2 linked regions of the Drosophila melanogaster genome follow. The protein of the gene in region 1 purifies or fractionates together with the protein of each later gene. This does not show direct contact. Each region holds a gene or a part of one and is shown on either strand. Other genes may lie near its edges.

Region 1 (5,379 bases):
TAATAGATCACCAATTACTAAGCACATGCTTAAGATAGCCACACGCAGGCTTACCAATGCTCTCAAACAAGAGGAAAAAAACAGCCAACGTTCATATATCGAGCAACTCTCTCCCACCAGCACTAAGTACCCTCTTTGGAGAGCTCACAGAAACCTAAAGACTCCAATAGCGCCAATTATGCCACTACGAAGTCCCTCTGGCACCTGGTTTCGAAGTGATGAAGAAAGAGCCAGTGCTTTCGCTGACCATTTACAAAATGTATTCCGACCAAATCCCTCTACCAACACATTTATTCTCCCTCCTTTAATAGCAGCCAATCTAGATCCTCAAGAACCCTTTGAATTCCGACCATGTGAACTAGCAAAGGTTATCAAAGAGCAACTGAACCCAAGAAAATCGCCTGGCTACGACCTAATAACTCCAAGAATGCTCATTGAACTCCCAAAGTGTGCTATTCTTCACATCTGCCTGTTGTTCAACGCAATCGCCAAGCTTGGATACTTCCCTCAAAAATGGAAAAAGTCGACCATAGTAATGATTCCAAAGCCAGGAAAAGATAAAACGCAGCCATCATCATATAGACCGATAAGCTTACTAACATGTCTTTCAAAGCTGTTTGAAAAAATGCTACTCCTTCGGATTAGCCCTCATCTTAGAATAAACAACACACTTCCAACACATCAATTTGGCTTTAGAGAAAAACATGGAACCATCGAACAGGTCAACCGAATCACGTCAGAAATTCGTACTGCTTTTGAACATCGAGAATACTGCACAGCCATTTTTCTAGACGTCGCGCAGGCATTTGACAGAGTGTGGCTCGATGGACTTTTGTTTAAAATAATCAAGCTGTTGCCCCAAAACACACATAAGCTACTGAAGTCATACCTATATAACAGAGTGTTTGCAATAAGATGCGATACAAGCACTTCACGCGATTGCGCAATCGAAGCTGGAGTGCCGCAAGGCAGTGTACTGGGTCCAATCTTATACACCCTGTATACGGCGGATTTCCCCATAGACTACAATCTAACAACCTCCACGTTCGCTGATGATACCGCGATACTCAGTCGCTCGAAATGCCCAATAAAAGCCACGGCACTCCTATCCCGACACTTAACATCTGTAGAACGATGGCTTGCCGACTGGAGAATTTCAATAAATGTTCAAAAATGCAAGCAGGTTACCTTTACCTTAAACAAACAAACATGCCCACCACTGGTCTTGAATAACATATGCATTCCACAAGCCGACGAGGTAACATATCTGGGAGTTCATCTGGACAGGCGGCTCACTTGGCGCAAACATATAGAAGCCAAATCGAAACATCTTAAACTTAAAGCAAGGAACCTCCACTGGCTCATAAATGCTCGCTCTCCACTTAGTCTGGAGTTCAAAGCTCTTCTATACAACTCCGTCTTAAAACCTATCTGGACTTATGGCTCCGAGCTGTGGGGCAACGCATCCAGAAGTAACATAGACATTATTCAGCGAGCACAGTCAAGAATTCTGAGAATTATCACTGGAGCGCCGTGGTACCTTCGGAACGAAAACATACACAGAGACCTAAAAATCAAATTAGTAATCGAAGTAATAGCTGAGAAAAAAACGAAGTATAACGAAAAGCTGACCACCCATACAAATCCCCTCGCAAGAAAACTAATCCGAGTATGCAGTCAAAGCCGGCTGCACCGCAACGACCTCCCAGCCCAGCAATAAACTTATTAGGGCATTAATGAAAAAAAAAAAACTATCACTAAGTGAAAGTTAATTAAGTTAGATTAAGATTTGAACACTTATTGTTAGTCTCTTAACACAAAGGGAAGATTCAATAAATAATAAAAATTAAAAAAAAAAAAAAAAAAAAAAAGAGAAGTCACAGATTAGGATAGATTGGATTCAGTGACTGCAGTAAAGTGTGATTTTCGCATCACTGCCGGCTCCACCGCTGATGGTGGCAACCCTGGCCGCTGTCACTTGCTTTTTGGTCCAGGCGTGTTGTGTAAACGCTGGCCCCCATTTCAGAATCCCAAATTCCGGCGCAAACTGTCCGGAATTGTACATATCTGGATTAACGACTTCACCTAGGACATGCTAAATCTCCTACGAAGGCGCCCAACGTCGGTGCCCCTCATCCGGGCCGCGCTTAGCGCTCCGCTGCACTCAACGGAAAACCGGCCGGGTTACATAGTGCTGTAAGTACGAAAATTACCCGGATTCAACATGTGGAGTCACTAAACCTATCCCCGCAGGGTACCGGAGATCGGTGAGGAGGGACCGCTAGGCGAGGGCGTGCTCAAGCCGGACGGACTTCCCGCCTTCAGTGACATCACCATCGAGATGTGCTTGGGCGCCATTGGTCAGCAGGCATCGGCGGTGGAGAACTCGGTGAAGGCGCTGGAGAGCGACCTGCACAGTGGCAAGCAGCTAAATGCCGCCAGCATCTTTCGGGAGCTGGACACCGTGACGGGTCCACTGGAGACGACATGGGGTGTGGCCAAGGCTCTGTACCTGGGCAATTCTACCCTGATACCCACCAAATCCTACATGAACATCCACGAACGAGCGCGTAACGCTCGGGCAGCGAAGTTCTGCAATCAAACGGTGTATAAGGCACTCAAGGATGCTTCGTCCGATTCGGGTCCAGATGAGCAGAGGATGCGACAGAAGTTCCTGCTCGAGGGCAAGCTGAACGGGCTCACGCTGGACAAAGATAAGCAGGATGGACTGAAAGAGCTGCTTACCCATTTGGGTCGAGAGAGAGCCAACTTCAAGAACAAGGTCAACATGGCAGTGCACTCGTTTGGACAGATTATTACGGACTTCAATCTTGTAAGAGATTTCCCGCCTTCGCTTCTTGAGGCAACAGCCCGCGATCCCGGACAACCTATGACGGGTCCTTGGAAGATAACCCTACAGCCTCAAGTGGTCGATGGTTTTCTAAAGCACTGCCCAGAGCGAATGCAGCGTTGGAACGTCTGGAGGGCCAGTGTGCTGAAGGCATCCTCGCAGCAGGAAAAATCCCTGGAGAACAGCACACACATCGAAAAAATACGCGGTTTGCGCAAGCGACAGGCAAATCTGTTGGGCTATGAAAGCTTTGCAGACATGTCCATGCAGACCAAAATGGTGGGCAGTGTGGACAACCTTAAGCAGATCTTTGCCAAGCTTCTCAAGTTCGCCGGCCCTGCTCAAAGTGTGGAGCTGGAGAAACTACAGGGCTTCGCTCAGGACAGTGGCTGTGAATACAAGCTGGAAGCCTACGACGTTGCCTACTGGCGGCGCAAGCAACTGGCGGCGGAGCACGGTCTCCAAGATCAGAAGCTCCGCGAGTTTTTCCCACTGCCCCGCGTTCTTTCCGGCTTGTTTGCGCTGAGTGAAAAGCTCTTCGGCATCAAAATAGTTGAGCAGCCCAATGCGGAGGTGTGGCATCCGGCAGTTAAGTTCTACGATGTGTTCGATGCTGATTCCGTCAATAGCTCCACCCCGGTGGGTGGCTTTTATGTGGACTGCTATTCCAAGGAGCACAAGTTCGGCAGAAACAATGGTTGGATGGTGGGCATACGGAACAGCAATAAGTCTGCCGGGCTGACGCCTCTCTGTGCGCTGATATTTAACTTTTCGGAGCCACAAAGTCCGGATGCCAAGCCCCCGCTTCTTGGATACGATGATCTGCAGATGCTCTTCAAGACTTTTGGAAGCGGACTCCAACACCTGCTCACCCAAGCGGGGTACAGCGATTTGGCGGGACTCTCAAACATCGAGTGGGATGCCTCTCAAGTGTCCGGTCATGTGATGAGCAACTTCCTCGACGATCCCACAGTGATTCGAAGCCTATCCGGACACTTTAGCAGCGGTGAGCCCTTGGAGGCTGAGCTTTCACAGAAGATGCGATTGCTGAAGACTCAGTTGGCTGGCTATAATCTGTGCCAGGACCTCTACCTGGCGGATCTCGACGTGGAGCTGCACCGCTCGAATGCCTTCTGGCTGGAGGTGGTTCGCAAGCTGTGGCCGGTTTATCAATGCATGCCGCTGGACAAGAAGGACGCACATCCGTGCTCCCTGACCGACATTTTTGCCGGAGATTGGGCGGCCGCCCAGTTCAGTCACTTGTATTCCCGCCTCATAGCCGCCGACATTTCGAGCAGCTTTGCTGAGCAGCGAAGCGAAGAGAACTACGCGGTCGTTGGCCGGCGCTACAAGCAGACCTTCCTCAGCTGCGGCGGATCTGTGCCCACGGCGGAAGTGTTCCGTCGCTTCCAGGGTCGCGACCCGTCGGCCGAGGCACTTCTAAAGTCGCTGGACATATTTGAACCCTCCCAGACCACAGATAACAACTGAGGGTCGCCCTCTGTTCCGCTAAAACGTTATCTATTGTGTGTAGTCAACAAATGCTGATCGATGGCAGCCTGTGGAGGCCCGACGAGTGGCAACCTTATAGGAAAGTAAGCATTGGAGTATTGGAAAATATTTTAAAATAGTTTTGAAATGTATTCTGTTAAATATTTGTTTATTGGTCAAGATCCCACTTGTACTTATTTAAAAGAAAGTATAGCCGTAATTGAATGACCCCAGCCAGGAAACTGAAAACCAAAAACGATTGATAAGGGCTTTATAAATTTTGGAAGTGTAACTATTAAAACAAGAATTCTATACTTTACGCCTCCACGATTTATTAGTCGGCAATTCGATCTACACCCTAATTGGCAGCCGGATGTGATAGCGATCGCGTGAGTCAGGCGGGATCTTATCGCAGGTGTGCAGGTGGTGTCGCCAGGCGACATCGTCAGTTACCCCAGTTGAACACACATACACACACACGTTGTTGCTTTATTTAAATAATACTTTAATAATAAATTGCATAAATTTATAACATTTAACATATTCTCTCGCTTCTTGCTCGGTTCTCTCGATTCGGTTCGATATATTTATATACACAACAAAGGCGAAGTATGCATTCAGCGGAAAGGAAAAAGACATCTAGGGGTTTGGATGGAAACCGAGGATTAAGAGCTATCATCTGTCTTGGCCTTCTGTTGGAAAGCCACTAGAAATGGTTAACCGGTAGTCAGGAAGAAATAATCAAAGTACATTTCGACGCAGGGGTATGGATTAAACTTGGTTAGTTTACAGGAATTAATTTATATATATATATATATATAAATATGCTCTAGATCAAAGTGTGGTACTACAATATGCGTATGTGCTGCTCCGAAATCAGTCGGAGCGTGTCCCGCTGTGGTGTGTTAGTTGTGTGTGGAGGCTGGATATCTGAAAACTTTAGAATATTCGCTAAGGCTGCTATGTGTGGTAGTGGCTGCAGTTGCTCCCTTGGCTGCTCCGTTGGCTACTGCTGTCTAGTATATGTCCGGACAGCC
Region 2 (4,139 bases), 360 kb from region 1:
TTACAAAAATTAATTCCTATTTAGTAATTAAAACAAATTTGATTCAAATCAACTTGAGTGCTTTCTATATATAATACTATTTATATCAAACAATATAACAACTATTCGATTTATCGATCGTTCGATAGATGGATTCTCACAGCAAAAGTCCTACATAGTAAAGACCATGCTGGACGACGCCCAGGGAAATGGTGGATTCGTGAATACCCTCAACATTTTTCCAAAGGAGAAGATGATGTACGAAACGATTATACCTAATTTGGAACAGCTTTACGAAGAAGCTGGGCTGAGTGTAAAGTTTGCACCAAAGTGCCACCATGCGGAGGATATCAAAGGAAGGATCTGCCTGGTTCAGGAGGATTTGCAAACGAAAAAGTACCGAAATATAAATCGCCTCAAGGGCTTCGACATGGCCCACATGCATCGAGTGCTAGAAAAGCTGGCGGAATTCCATGCAGCAGGTGCCGTTTGGCGTCAGCGAAAAGGACCGTTTCCCGATGATTTTCAGAGGATTTACCTACCCGCCAACTATCAGAAATCGAAATCGTATCAGGCGAGGCTCCAGAGCTATAAAACTGCAATAGCCAGTTGGGGTCTGGCCGATCACGAACAGTATGTGAGTCGCATTGTAAGTTAAACAATCTAATAAATATCTTAACATTCAATAACATCGATTTGATGATGTATTCAAGCCCACGGCCGATCAATTTGTGCAATCCTACGCCAGCTGCTTTAACAACAATCCGCAGGAGTTTAAAGTTCTAAATCACGGTGATTTTTGGTCCAGCAACATAATGCTAAGCTATACTCAAACTGGTGATATCAACCAGGTGCGTTTCGTGGACTTCCAACTGTGCAAGTGGGGTAGTCCGGCTCAGGATCTTTGGGAACTCATCATATGTTCGGCACGGCATAGTATACGAATACAATACTTTGACTACTTCATCAGGATATACCACACACACCTAGTGCGCTGCCTAAAGATCCTAAAATACAGCGAACGAATACCAATGCTAAGGGAGCTGCATATGAGCATGATCAAGTATGGATTTTGGGGTAAGAATTTAACTAGACGATCACTATATATAAATGATACAAAACTCTTTTATCAGGCTACTTTACCACCTTCACGCACCTTGTGTTCATTTTGCTGCCACCGGATACGGAAGCTAGCTTGGTGAAGCTTACGCAGCCGGGAGAGGAAGGAGATCGCTTCCGGTCCAAGGTGTACACAAATCCACTCTACGTCCGCTCTGCGCTCAGCATATTCCCCTTTCTACTTCGGCGTGGTATTCTAGACTTTTGAAGCGGTTCAAGTCATTACTGTTAAAACCGAAATTAAGTATATGAATTTGTATTAAAGACTAAAAATGTATACAAGTAGATCGATATATATATATATTTTACATACTTTATCCCGTTTGGACTGTAACTTCTTTTACATCATAATTTAATATGTTTTCAACTATCAAAACAAATATAGTAAACAGCATAGTTTCAGCAGATAAACAAATCTATTTGTTTATTGAAATAATTTTCTGAAGTTGATAACTTGTAGAAAATGTGCTAATGCATTTCTGAAGTTCTGAAGAAAATCCTCTAACTGGCATAGAATATGTATAAATCTATAGAATATAGAATATATACCTATAGAATAAATACATTAGATAAATGCCAAGTCATTAAAGCTTATCACAACAGTTGCCTGTATTCAGATCACATTTTATTTGTTCCCCAAGGAAAACAGTAAAACATCACTAACAAGTACGTTAAATATATATGTATCTCTGTTTTTCCACTTTTATTTGTTGTTATCGGGCACAAGTTCCACACTGCTCAATAAACCGGTTTCATTGCCGCCATAGATTCCACATGTACATATAAATAATATTATATATACATAAATCAGCTGATAAGCCAGCGCAAAGCTAACAACAGAGAGAGCTTTACAGAAGCTCTATCTTTCTCCCAGCCCGTCACATGTTTTGCCCCACATTCTTGATTCGATAGCCCCCAGCGTAAGTTGCTACTCAGCTCTCTGTTATTTTTATTCGGTGCGGTCAGGTGACTTGAGAAAAAAAGAAGAAAATACAATGGGAACCGGCAGCAAGAACTACCAGGCTCCGGAATGGCTCACCGCCGAATTCCTGCAGGATGTGCTGAAGGAACACTTCAAGGAAGAGCAGCTGGCAGTCACCGAGTTGATAGTAAAGAGCGCCCAAGTGGGCGACCAGGCGGCGGGATTTGCCAGCGAAATGCATCGGGCCAGTTTCAATCTTCAGAGGGGCACTGCACCCAAAGGCAAGTTTTCAGTGATTGTGAAGGATCATCCCAAGGGACAAACAGGTGCTGTGGCCCACAGGAGTAAGCTCTTCAAGCGTGAGATTCTGGCTTACAAGGAGGTGCTTCCACGTATTCAAGCCTTGCTCCAATCCATTGGAGATCAAACGAAAATTGCACCTACGTGCTACTACACCACGGAATCGCCGGAGCCATTCCTGATTCTGGAGGACATGCAGCTGTCCGGCTTCGAGAACTTCGAACGCGGTCGACTGCTGAATCTGGACTACGTACTGCCCACCATCGAGAAGGTCGCCAAGCTGCACGCTTGCAGCGCCCTTATCGCCCAGGATAGCCCCGAGGTGCTGGAGTTCTTCGACGAGGCGCCCATTTCGAGGAATCCGGACCGTCGTGACTTCCTCACCTTCTTCCCCGTCAACATTCGCTGCGTGGCCGAGGAAGTGGCTCACTGGAAGGGCTACGAGGAGATCACCGAGAAGATGTTCAACCTGGCCGAGAATGTCCTGCAAAGAGCGCTGACCATGTTTGAGAGCACAGGCAAGGATTTCCGGGTCTTCAACCTCACCGATCTGTGGATCAACAATCTCTTGTTCCACATCAACAACGAGACCAAGGAGCCAGACGATGTGGTCACAGTATGTCATTCATAGACGAGAATCCATTCGAAATCCACGTTAATTTATCTCTTCGTTCACTAGTTGGACTTTCAGTTGGCCTATGTGGGATCCCCAACCATTGATCTCAATTACTTCCTCTACGGATCCTTGAACGAGAATGTTCGTAAGGTCCACTATAAGTACATTGTGAGGGAATACCAGAGAGTGCTTCAGCAGACCCTGGAGAAGCTAAACTACCAGGGACACATTCCAACTCTTAAAGAAATCCACATCGAGTTGATCAAGACCAGTCTTATGGGTATGATCATCATCACCATTTATCTATATTGGTTTTCATAATGACTCCACCATTATAGGTGTCATTGGCGCCACTTGCCTGACTCCACTGATCTTCAGGGAGGGAGCTGGTTTCGAAAACCTTGAGGATCTGAACTCACGCACTGAGAGCGGTGATCGTTTCCGCCGGGAAAATGTTGAAAACCCCAAGTATCGGGCTTTCCTTCAGCGAACTATTAAAGAATTCGAGCTATCTGGATTCTTGGATGAATAGTGACAAAGGGCTAATGAAGATTGCGTTACATTCGATCAAAAGTATTCGGGCTTCCACATACAGTAAGCTTTCCAGACAAATATTCCATGAGTATTTTACACCCAAATTAAAAAAAAAGAAAAATTTAATTTGATGATACGTTTTGTTATTTAATTTAAAGCAAAAGGAAACCCTAAAAAATTACATGGTTCATATAGTTGCGATCAATTAGCCATGCAATATATACACATTTTAACTGATAGCTTTAAAAATAGATCAAAGATCGTTAAAGTATCCCATTTCCTCATATTTACCCAAAAGCTTTTTGACATCTTGAACATAAGGGTCATAGAGGTATGATTTTTGTCTGATTTCCGGATCTTGAATTAACTCGTGTATTTTAAACGTATTCGCTTTAACGGCCACAATCATTGGCGAAAAAGTGGTTAAAAGGAAGAAGTCTGTAAAAATATTGAAGTGGTTAGGCTTATTGAAACTAGGCGATAAATAAAATAGGCACTTACCATAAAACTTGTGTCGGTGTATTTGCTTCCACAGACCATCATTGGTCGGCATCTTGCCCTTGTAGCCAACTTTTTTTAACGTGTCCTCCAAAACCGAAAAATAAAAGTTAATAAGATCCTTTCCGAGATCCCATCGCTGCTCTGGCTCCATGAGCATGTACACAGAAT

What was found. The genes of interacting proteins can lie anywhere in the genome.
Region 2: the proteins of CG11771 (region 1) and CG31098 purify together in Drosophila melanogaster (affinity purification with mass spectrometry, with the first as the bait; one large-scale study listed by BioGRID). This does not show direct contact.

Annotation. Positions count from the first base shown.
Region 1 is NT_033777.3:24,930,041-24,935,419, forward strand, and holds CG11771 (uncharacterized protein), read left to right. Parts: upstream 1-1,969; 5' UTR 1,970-2,092; coding exon 2,093-2,196; intron 2,197-2,253; coding exon 2,254-4,342; 3' UTR 4,343-4,879; downstream 4,880-5,379. Other genes in the region: Osbp (oxysterol binding protein), read right to left, coding at 5,359-5,379.
Region 2 is NT_033777.3:25,290,825-25,294,963, reverse strand, and holds CG31098 (uncharacterized protein), read left to right. Parts: upstream 1-1,986; 5' UTR 1,987-2,093; coding exon 2,094-2,936; intron 2,937-2,999; coding exon 3,000-3,216; intron 3,217-3,274; coding exon 3,275-3,468; 3' UTR 3,469-3,594; downstream 3,595-4,139. Other genes in the region: CG31102 (uncharacterized protein), read left to right, coding at 129-628, 693-1,056, 1,113-1,306; CG11893 (uncharacterized protein), read right to left, coding at 3,724-3,908, 3,972-4,139.